Linked DNA regions of Drosophila melanogaster. The protein of the gene in region 3 interacts with the protein of the main gene of each other region in a pairwise test. Each region holds a gene or a part of one and is shown on either strand. Other genes may lie near its edges. The genes, in order: Gsc, CG12849 and Spt7.

Evidence for each region.
Region 1: the proteins of Spt7 (region 3) and Gsc interact in a two-hybrid assay, tested with the Drosophila melanogaster proteins (one large-scale study listed by BioGRID).
Region 2: the proteins of Spt7 (region 3) and CG12849 interact in a two-hybrid assay, tested with the Drosophila melanogaster proteins (one large-scale study listed by BioGRID).

Annotation. Positions count from the first base shown.
Region 1 is NT_033779.5:593,065-596,817, forward strand, and holds the start of Gsc (goosecoid), read right to left. Parts: upstream 1,622-3,753; 5' UTR 1,317-1,621; coding exon of another isoform or gene 1,143-1,316; coding exon 524-1,142; intron 1-523.
Region 2 is NT_033778.4:24,795,915-24,799,256, reverse strand, and holds CG12849 (uncharacterized protein), read right to left. Parts: upstream 1,333-3,342; coding exon 1,285-1,332; intron 1,227-1,284; coding exon 1,071-1,226; intron 1,022-1,070; coding exon 857-1,021; intron 794-856; coding exon 644-793; downstream 1-643. Other genes in the region: CG3611 (uncharacterized protein), read right to left, coding at 1-147; Orc4 (origin recognition complex subunit 4), read left to right, coding at 1,965-2,156, 2,217-3,342.
Region 3 is NC_004354.4:17,848,344-17,852,096, forward strand, and holds Spt7 (Spt7), read left to right. Parts: upstream 1-2,116; 5' UTR 2,117-2,197; coding exon 2,198-2,340; intron 2,341-2,401; coding exon 2,402-2,504; intron 2,505-2,564; coding exon 2,565-3,398; 3' UTR 3,399-3,544; downstream 3,545-3,753. Other genes in the region: CG15814 (uncharacterized protein), read right to left, coding at 298-418, 476-711, 774-1,002, 1,071-1,367, 1,433-1,467, 1,565-1,612; CG32554 (uncharacterized protein), read right to left, coding at 3,545-3,753. UniProt on the Drosophila melanogaster protein: Component of the transcription regulatory complex SAGA, a multiprotein complex that activates transcription by remodeling chromatin and mediating histone acetylation and deubiquitination. The SAGA complex predominantly acetylates histone H3.

The DNA.
Region 1 (3,753 bases), on a different chromosome or scaffold from region 3:
GCCTTTGAATGAATTTAAGCGGTATTCTGCATAAATCTGCGCCTGAGATCCACGCTCGAATCAACACAAGGCCTGAGCCCATCTTAAAGCCACCCCAGCATCCCGGATTTCCCTGGTTTTTCCGGCCCAAGCTAAGACTTAGAGCCCAATGCAAATCCTCTCACCGCAAAATCGAAGGAAAATGGAGAGGAAATGCGGAATCATCTTTCACGGATCATTGCCTAATTATGAATAATGCCATTCAGGACTCGCTTCGGAATGGGTGTGGTTCGGTTGAGTGGGAGAGGATGAGGATGTCAGGATAAAAGTGGGTGAGTGGCTGAATGGGTGATTCCTGACTGCATGAGTGAGCTGCCTTAAGGTGATTTCAGAGTTTAGATGCATGAAATAAGGTATTTCAAAATGTTAAAATTTCTTTATCTAAAGAACCATCCTTTGAACTGGTTTCGTCTTAAGTTGTCTTCATAATGAAATTCAGCTGAGGGGGCTTGTGCGTTCAGTATAGGGGGATTGATAGACTTACCCAAAAAATCCGAGGGAGAGGCGGCAAAACCGCTCGCCGCTGCAGCCGCCAAGTGACCCAGATGCAGGCCAGGATGCTGCAGCATGGCAGGAACCCTCTGCGGTCGGATGGGACTGGCGGCTGCGCTAGAACTGGAGTTTGAATTTGGCGAGGCTGGGGACTCGGCGCCACTTCTTTTCAGACCCAAACTGATGCCATTCGAGGTGAGTCCATTTTGGTTGCCATTGCTGCTGATGTGGCTGCCTTGGCTTGGAGCGGTGCCTCCACCCTGTTGGCGAGAGCCCAAAATGCTGTCGATAGTGAAGAGAGACGCGGCGGCGGCTCCTCCTCTTCTCTCCTCTTCCAGAATGGTGACACCTGACTGGCTGCCATCATCGGAGGACGGAGTTTGACTTTGGGACTGCTGGTGTTGGGCGTGCTGCTGCTGGAGGACCGACTGCAATCGCTGGCCCAAGTAGCCGCATTGCTGCGAGTTCAGGAGCATGGCGGTGGTCAGGTGATAGGCGGCCGTGTTGCCAGGAGATCGCGAGATCTGCCTTGGAGGCTGCTGCTGCTCGCCGAGATCGCTGGGCGACCTTTTGAGGGTGTAACCCGCCGGCGGGGAATTTGTCTCTACCATTTGTGCCAGCATAGATCCAGCCGGAGGGGGCGTAGGCGGCGGGGAGGGGCTGGGCGTGCTCACGACGGTGATCTTGAACTTGGCCTTCGAGGGCGGAATGTCGGGCGTGGTGCTGGGAGTGGTGGTGGTGGTGCCTCCACCGCCTCCTCCAGGGGTCCACAGTGAGGAGAGAATCTTGAAGAAGTCTATGAAGCTTTCGAGTAGGAAAAAGTCTCTTCCCCACTGATTTTTTTTTAATGAAGCGGCACTTTTGAAGCACTAAGCGCTTTACAATTTTTTTTAATTCAGTAATGGTGGCAATGTTGCGAATATTAAGTCTAGGTTTTTTTCACTGGATTAGTGTGTTTTGATCGATGCCAAGTTCACTAAACCGCACTAGAAACACGCACTGCAATCGCGTCGTGATTTTATATTTTATTATTTCCACAGGTTTTCTGCCACCGGGAACCCTTCTTGTCCGCTCGAGCTGCGAAAGTGTTGTGAGAGCGTTCCGCCCGACAAGTTGTCGATTGAGTAGTCGTTAGGCCAGTTCCTCGACAGATATAGATACAGACTCTCAGATGCCAGATACAAACTCACATCTGCTCTCTCGTTTAGCGGACATTTTTCGACGTTGGCCAATGAAATCGGGGTGAAGCCACGCCCTCAACGCTACCATATTGCTTGGCAATACTCTCTGGCTTTGGACGCCTCTCCCTCTCTCTGTATCCTCCCTCCCTTTTTTGCTTTCCCTCTGTATCTCTTTCTCTCGCTCTAGCTGGTGGTGGTTGATGGTGTCGGGCCCCCATCTTGCAGTGTTCCAGGTTAAAGGCTGGCAGGAGGTCCAGGATAAAGATGGCGCTACAGAGATAATGCCCCATTCACCAGACCCCTCCTTTTCCACCCAATTCACACCAATGCTTCCATGTATTTTTTTGTATTTTTGCGCTCTCTACTTACTTTCTTTGGCCACTGACAGTTATTTATACAGATAAAGTCATCACTGACAGACCCCGCGGCCCCCACAGAAAGAGATAGCTGTCGAGGGAGCGATAGAGAAGGGAAGCGGGTGCGCAGGATATGGCAACAGAAGCTCTCTCGCTTTCACTCAGAGTGAGTAGCAGGGGTAGCATAAAAATGCTGATGGAAATTATGGGTGGCAAAAAGCCTGACGCTCTCTTCTCGCGTTCAGGGGATTCTGATACTCCACTGCCTCTGCTGGCGCCGTATCTTAAGAAGATAATGACTAAATTAATGCTTTTATGTTTCTGGCAACACATAAACATCATTATGCGCTCAATCCGCCCACGGAGAAGCGCTGCTCTTGCTCTTTCTCCCTTTCTGAGCTTTATCTTTATCATCATTCTTGCAGACGTTGGGAGCTTGAAAAGGGTTAAGGGGTGAACGTTTTATGTAGAAAGAAGCACGCTACTACTCGTACATAAAGATGAAGCTTACACTGGAGGGAGACTGGGAGCGCTCATTCAATAATCTACGGCACTTTGGTGACCCTCGTCGCTATTGTTTCACCTCGTGTGTGTGCATAGGAAAATATTTTAATCTAAAGTTTCCACATCAAACATGCCCAAGTGCAAAATCCCCAATGGCCGCCAGGGTTCGTTCCCTAGATATGCCCCCCCTCCTCGTCCACTCGAATGCAGGAAAACAAAAGCTAAGCTACGACTAATGATAAATGCAACTCTGCAAACCACACCCACAATCACAAATGGAAATCCAGCCAGGAAAAGCAAATGAACCGAAAAGTCCTTACAATGTCACCTATGTGGGGGTGAAAAATGGGGATCACTTGGAGAAATAATTCCCAAGTAAGGTCCATCTTTACATACTAACTAAACTTAATTCTGCTAGGAGAATCATGGAAGACGAGGCGTTCCTGATAAATTATCAATCAACACTGACTACTAAATTGGGTGGTTTCGAAATATCTTTAAATAATAAGAAAGTATTTAAAGGGCACCCAAATCGCTCTGTGTACTAAGATGGACAAAGAGGAGGGGTCCAGGGAGGGAGGCTTACATAAATGCAGATGTTTTAGTGTGTGTTGGGGGTATATGTGTTCAACTGATTACGGGGGCGCACGGAAGAAGAGGGGCGGTCCTGTCACATGCCGTAAAAGGATGAAAGGATGACGGCTGATGACGTCGCATGTGGCCAAATGCTTTTAGAAATTATTGAATAATTAAGCAGGCCAAGGACCGCAGGACCAGGATATTTCTGGTCCTCTTTCCCCTCCGATTCTTAGTGGATCCTGCCGCCCAGTTTTCTCTGGGCTTCGCTATTTGCCTTTACACTGAACTTCTTACATGGCCAACAACTCCCGACGGGAAAACCGATGATGACGATGTTGTAAATGTAAAGGAAATATTGAGTTGAGAATGGAAAAAGAGGAGGAAGCTCTGGGAGTGCGCTTCTCGCTAAGCTCAAAAGATGTGACGCACTTTTTTCTATTATTTTCCTCACAGAATTTGTTCAACTTGTTTTTTCACATGAAACTTTTTGTTGCCTTTTCTACCTACTCTGACCTCTGACCTGAATTCTTTCCCCACTTGCTGTGCACTTTTTGTTTTAGTTCGCAGATTGAATTTTAAATAAAAAATTAAATTAACTTGTC
Region 2 (3,342 bases), on a different chromosome or scaffold from region 3:
GATCTGGTCAATCCGCTGATAATGGCAGCACTGCATCTTAGGGTACCACGCGAAGGTCTCCTGCCAGTGCCTCGTCGTCCTTTCCATGGCATGACTGAAGGCGAGCTGGTAGCGCAGCTGCTCCGTGGTCACTATGTCCGCCGGCATCTTGTCAGGGGTGTGGGGTTGTGTTTACTTTACTTCGTGTCCTTCTGGTTGTGGAGTGGATTGATATATGTGTCCGAAATGTGTGAAGTTTGTGGCTGGCCCACCTGATTGGCAGCTGAGTTGCCAGTCCCGAGTGCCAATCCCGTTTTCTGTGTGCTCCCTAATCGCATTAGCAGCCACTTGACAGACGACAGGTGCAGTGCATCCAGGTCACTGCCAGCCACCTGTGCAGAAACTCTGCACATAATTGTTAACGCTTACGAACTGGCCTAGTCTGAAACCTATGTACATGTTTAAGTTAACTTTCGTCACTACACTATATTTATTTTCGTAAATCTCAGTAATGTGACAAATACATCACATACAGACCCACTTAGACTTACTATATTTACTATATTGGTCCTGCTGACCCCCATCCAATACTAAAACGGCATAACACCTTACCAATATTTCTGCTTACGGGTTGAAGAGCCTGGATATTACTGGATTTGACTGTTTAGCTCTTGGTAAAGTATAGGATGACATCGGTGCGCGGAATGCCCGCGACCATCCATGTGCTGTTCATCATGTATCTGCCATCGGGGATGATCGACTGGACCAGCTTGTTCAGATGCTGCACGGGAAGCTTGTCGAGCACGATGTCGTGCTGTGGGTGGGTGGGTGAGAAAGGCGAAGGTTATGCGGCATGAACATGGCAACGCTCACTCACGTCGTAGGGGCAGGTGTGGTTCAGGTTCGAGTAGGGGCCGAAGGTCTGGTAGACCCAGTTGGCGATCACGTGCTTGCGGTCGCGCATGAACTTGCAGGAGTCCACCTTGAAATCAAAGTTGTACAGGACTCGCCTGTTCTCGCGCATCCTCAGCTGGAATCTGGTCTGGAAGATGGTCGGGTGGTGTGAGACCGACACAGTTCTATACTCTTACCTCGCAGTTGTCGACGGGCAGGCGGAACATCTTTGTTTTTAGCGAAAGGTACTTGTAGGTGCGGTTCACGGACTTCAAGTAACAGTACTCAAAGTCCATAAACATCCTGTCGCGCACGAGGCAGACTACATTATTGAATTCGAAGTGTCCTCGGATCTTTGGATATCAATTATTCTATAGTGCCATCTATTAGCCATACGCATTCGATTCTTACTGCCATCGGAGACATAAAAATCAGCAGAAAAGTCCACAATCCGCTCATTCCTAAAGAGGTCTGGATCACAATAACCACAATACCGAGTGCCAAAAGCTGAAGCATTCCAAAAGTTATTAATTGTGATTACTCGATCCATTGCTGTTATGAAATTGCCAGCCGATATTAAATAATCTCTGAGAATCCATTGAGTGTTTAATAACTTATTTTAATGGACATTTAAAATACACAGCATTCCAAATAAACCTATTCCAGCAAATTGACCCTCAAAATGCCAACGACTATGCGATTAATAAAGAAATTTGTTCATATTTTTAAAGATGTTTATATGTATAATTGATTGTTATTTATAGAGTTACTATTGTACATATTCCTCAATCGTAGGTCCATTTTGTATGAACTAAAATGTTGATATTTCAAAATGTGCTAAAGCCGCAGAAATTAGATCGTATTGGTTTGTGGCACGAATATATTTTTCAGGCGGCTTAAGGCAACACTGAGTAGTATCAGAGTTCCAAACCACCGTACATTAAATGAACCAATATCGGTTTTGTTCCATCCCCAATGCATTGTTGACGTTTTTTGGCGCGACTTAATTACTGGCAGAAATCCAAACTATCTGTGCGTCCATTTAACTAATAAATAAGGAGGAATAAAGGAGTTCCGATCCGAGAGCGAAAATGCCGGAGGCGGATAGGGAGCTGGTCAGCATCAGGCGCTTCCTGAAGGAGCGCCTCCAGCGAGACTACACCACCTTGAGGGGCTACGCAAAGGAGCGGTCCAATGTGCGCCTATTGCTGCAACGCACAGCTGAAATGGGGGAATCCAACTCCTTGCTGCTCCTTGGGCCGCGGGGATCCGGAAAGACAACGGTATGAGTGCAGGCCTTACCGGGAAACCAATCCAGTAATCTATGCTTTCAAATTCTTTAGCTCATCAACTCCGTGCTGGCCGATTTGCTGCCCAATAAATCGTTCGGGGAAAACACTCTCATCGTCCACCTGGACGGTAATCTGCACACGGACGACCGAGTGGCCCTGAAGTCCATCACTGTGCAGATGCAGCTGGAGAACGCTGCGGATGGGAAAGTGTTCGGATCGTTCGCCGAGAACCTCGCCTTCCTGCTGCAATGCCTCAAGGCGGGTGGCAAGCATTCCAAGAGCGTGATCTTTATTCTCGAGGAGTTCGACCTCTTCTGTGCTCACCACAACCAGACCCTGCTCTACAACCTCTTCGACGTCTCCCAGTCAGCCCAGGCGCCCATCTGTGTACTTGGCGTTACCTGTCGCCTCGACGTGATCGAGCTGCTGGAGAAGCGGGTCAAGTCGCGTTTCTCGCACCGGCAGGTCTTTCTCTTTCCCAGCTTGCGGCGCTTTGAGGATTACGTTGACCTGTGCAGGGATCTACTGTCCCTCCCGACCGGCAATTCACTGTTGCTGGCGGCGGAGAAAATCTATAACCTACAAAACATCCAGTCGGGGGCACTTTACTTCTCCCGCAACCATTTTGACCCCGGGGAGTACGGCTTTTCGCCCAGACTACGCGATGCCTGGAACAAGCAAATATGCAAAGTCCTGGCCACTCAGCAGGCAAGAAGCACCCTCCAAGCGCTCCATGACTTCGACATTAGCGAGGCCTATCTCAAGAACTTCCTATTCCGCCTGGTGGCACATCTCCGACCGCAATCTCCCCACATCACAGCCGAAAAAATGGCTGCAGTGGGATCACAGTTTGAGGGCGACGACAAGATAGAGCTGCTTTGCGGGCTCTCAGTCCTAGAGCTGTGCCTGATCATCGCCATCAAGCACCATTCGCAGATTTACGATCGCGATTCCTTCAACTTCGAGATCATTTACGCGCGCTTTTCCAAGTTTGCCAAAGTGTCCACCACAATGCAGGCCGTGGAGCGGTCCATTGTCCTGAAGGCCTTCGAGCATTTACGCATCGCAGAGCTGATCATGCCGCTCACCGGTGGAGCTGGAGGGGGCGTAGGTAAGGTGCAGAAAGAGTTTGAGATGCATAAGCTGGCGCTGACATACAGCCAGATTCACCACTGTA
Region 3 (3,753 bases):
AGCAAACCACACACAGAACTGGAAACCCGCAAACAGATTGGATGGCAATGGCATTCGTCTACAGATCTTTCATCCGTCATCGTCATCATGGTTCAGGTTCATGTAATGGAGTCGTGGAGGGGAGCGGGGGAATGAACGGCGACGGTACTAGTGGTGCGGGTGTTTCGCAGCCCCTCCAGGTTGGTCTGTCGTTGTTTCTCCATCGTCGTGTTTTCCGTGTGGTTTCATGTGCAGGACTTAATCCGAAGTGTGTGTGCTTGACTAGACGCCGAGGAAAGCTAGTGCCGGTATCAGGATCTACTCCAGTCCCAGCATCCAGTTGATGCCTTGTACTATGAAAAAGATGAGCGGCTGCCAGGCCACCAGCCAACGAATCCAATCCAGCAGGCGACCGTACAAAACGTGCGGCTTCTCCCAGCTAGAGGAGAAACAATATTAAGTAGGCCAGTCAAACGGATGGCTCTGAATGGCTTACGGATTGCGGAACATCTTCTGGAGATCGACCTTTTCCTTGCAGTAGGGACACGTCTGCTTCTTGCCCACAATGCACCAACCACGTATACAGAACTCGTGGAATACGTGGTTACAAGACAACTTGTAGGTGTTCTCAATGACGCCCTCTTCCTTCTCCGAGACCAGCAACTGATTGCCACACACTGCGCAGACATTCTGATCAAGATGTCGTGTTGGAATACCCTGAGGTGTGTAGTACTGTGGGACAAACGGGAGGGTTAGAAGATTCCAACTGGGTATCTGGCCAATGGTCAACTCACGCCAATAGCTGCCGCCATCTTATCCGAACATATCTCGGATATATCACGCCCCAGGACGCCGATGTACAGGCCGTAGAAGCAGAACATCAGGCCCACATCCATCCATGTGTTTGGTGGCTGTGAGAACATGTAATTCATGCCCAGAAAGGCGGCTATGATCACCAGATAGCCCACCAGGCCAAGGCCATAGCTGAGCTTGTAGATGAAGTAGAACCACTTGTAGACCAGCCTGAAATTGGATTTTATGGGTTATTATCTGGCCTTCGTCGGTCGCCGTTCTTATCTACGTTGACTCACCTAGGCGTTGTGCCCTGGATGGGCTTGCTGATGGCCCGTCGCATAACCAGTGCCGTGATGCAGGTGAACACCAGCCAGATGATTATGAAGCGCAGCCAGCCGAAGCTGCAGGAGATGATCAGCGGAATGAGCCACATGGCCAGCAGGGTGACGAAAGCGTAGGATCTGTAGTGCCGCTTCTTCCACTCGACCAGGATGATCTGGGCAATAACCAGGGTGACGAACAGAATGATCACCATCTCGGAGTGCATGGCATCGTGGCCGCGATGTTTCTCCACCATCAGTTGATGCTGCGCTCTGTTCGATTGGATAGCCGAAAATTTGTTATGATTTAAAGGATTTTCTAAGGCCACTTCACTTACCGCATTCGCTCCTCCGGCGTCATTTCGTCCAGGGACTGATGGACATCCGCATTAGCAGGGAATTGCAGGGAAGAGGGAAAATTTGGCAGTAGAGTGGGGCTTCCTATTCGATTCCCATTAGAAAAGACTCACCTTGTTCAAGTCCACGGGCTCATGCAGGTCCATGTGCTCCTGGTGCATCTTATTGCCGTTGTATCCGCCGTATCCCGCTGCCGCCAATCCGCCGGACAGTCCCACTCGTCGTCTGCGTCGCTGCGTTATCTTGCCCACCACGTATTGCGATCGGTTTTTACCTTTGAAATTCGTGAAACGAAAACAAATAATTACATTTTATGCCTGTGTGCTTGTCCAGCTGCAGTGGCGTTGCCATTTGTCACAGCGGCCGAAAAAACGAATACATGTATGTGTGACGTGAGCCACAAAAATACAAGCGCGACCTGATTGTTAGAACCAGCTGTCCTGAGTATGGGGTTTTTCCCAAATTGTTGCTATTTTATCATAACCTTTATTTACTTTAGCTACGACAGCGCTTTCTGATTATCGAAAACGAAACGTTCGAGGCCAACGTTGCCAGATGCCGCTGCAGGCCGTGCCGATGTTTACCGACAATCAGCTGTTTGGTTCAATGAGTTGAGTATTTCGTTCCCAGCGCAAGCAAACTTATCGATAGTCCCGATAACCAACCATGTTATTTTAGGGCCCGATAAGTAAACAACAATATATTGTTAAGTAAATGTTGTACGTAGGTTTTTAAGCGAAATAAACATGCAAACAGAGCACTGGGGCTCGCTGCCCGCAGAGGATGACGGCGGTCAACTGACGCCGGACAAATACGTGCCCACGGCGGCCAAGAAACTTAAGCTGGACGAGATTCGCCAGCGCGGAGATCCGCAACCGCAAGAAAAGCAGTAAATAAATCTAAAGAAAAGCTTTAACGCAGCCGGTAAACTAACCATATATTCCATGTAGCCACAAGTTGGAGCTGAGGAGTGCGCTGGTCACCCAGACCATCGAGGTGATGAAGCAAACCGAGGTGCTGCAGTCCCTCATTGAAACGTACTCCAACAAAAATGCAAGTTCTTGGTTCTTGTTTAACCGTAGTATTTACCTAATTTACCCAATGAATTCATAGGGAAGTTCCAATTACCTCTTGAATCCGTGCCTAATGATACCGGAAGTGGACTTTCCGCCGGAGAACGCAGCCGAACTGGTGGGCAGCCAAAAGTTTCAGAAGCCCATTTGGTTCACACCAACCGTGGACACAGCCTACTCTCGCGGGGATCCGGAGGCATATCCGGAGATCCCCAGCTCTGCTTGCCGCCAGGCGATGCGCAAGGTGATGTGCGGCATGCTGCGCCTGGCCGGCTTCACCGACTGTTCCGAGTCGGCGGTGCAACTGCTGACGGACGCCACCGAGGAGTTCCTGCGCAGCTTTATCGGCGAGTATCGCGGCTACTATGACAGTCAGCCGCGGCTGCAGAATTCCACGGTGCTGCAGCTGGTCCCACTGGAGCGCGCCCATTTCGCCCAAACGGGCACCTCGCTCACCCAGGTGCACAACTACTACAAGCACAAGGTGCTGGCCAGGAATCGCGCGGAGATCGCTGAGTTCAACAGCGTACTGCAGGAGTACGACAAACTGATGAAGGAGAGCCAGAGCAGCATGCAGAAGCAGCACAACGAGTTCAACGGCCACGACTTTCTCAACATCCTGGACAACAGCGCCACAGGCAGCAGCCAGAGCATAGGCGGCATGGCCATGGGCGATATGCTGCAGGATCTGGGCGGTAGCACGGGCTCCAGTGGCACAGTCAGCTCCCAGCAGATGCTGTACGGCCTGCTCGATGGCCAGATATCGTCCAATACCTCCAACATGACGGGGACGAGCGGCAATGGCAGCACGGGCGGCAATGGAAATGGCAATGGGGCCACGATTAGCAACTTTCACGCCACTTTTGAAACGTAATTGTTAAAATTGCGGGGATAACTTCATTATCTCACACTGAGATATCTCTAGCAATCAAATGTTTCACACTTTTTATAGAACGACTAAGATCTCTAGGCTCAAGTTAAGTTAAGCTCTAAGGAAACGTACTAATTAAATAGTTTTTATTACGTGTTTTGTTTATTGCTCATCTTTTTGCTAATCCTCGACTCGTTCCAGTTGTTTTGTCGCCTCCGCTTGGTGAACTCGTTGGTGGGTTCAATGGCCACAAGTTTGGTTGCATTCGGATCGCTGGCTCTGTACTGGAACACTTTGTCGTGGCGCGTCTTTTTCTGGGCCCACGCCAGCAGGTCCCTGCCTTCCAGTATGGAGTTGC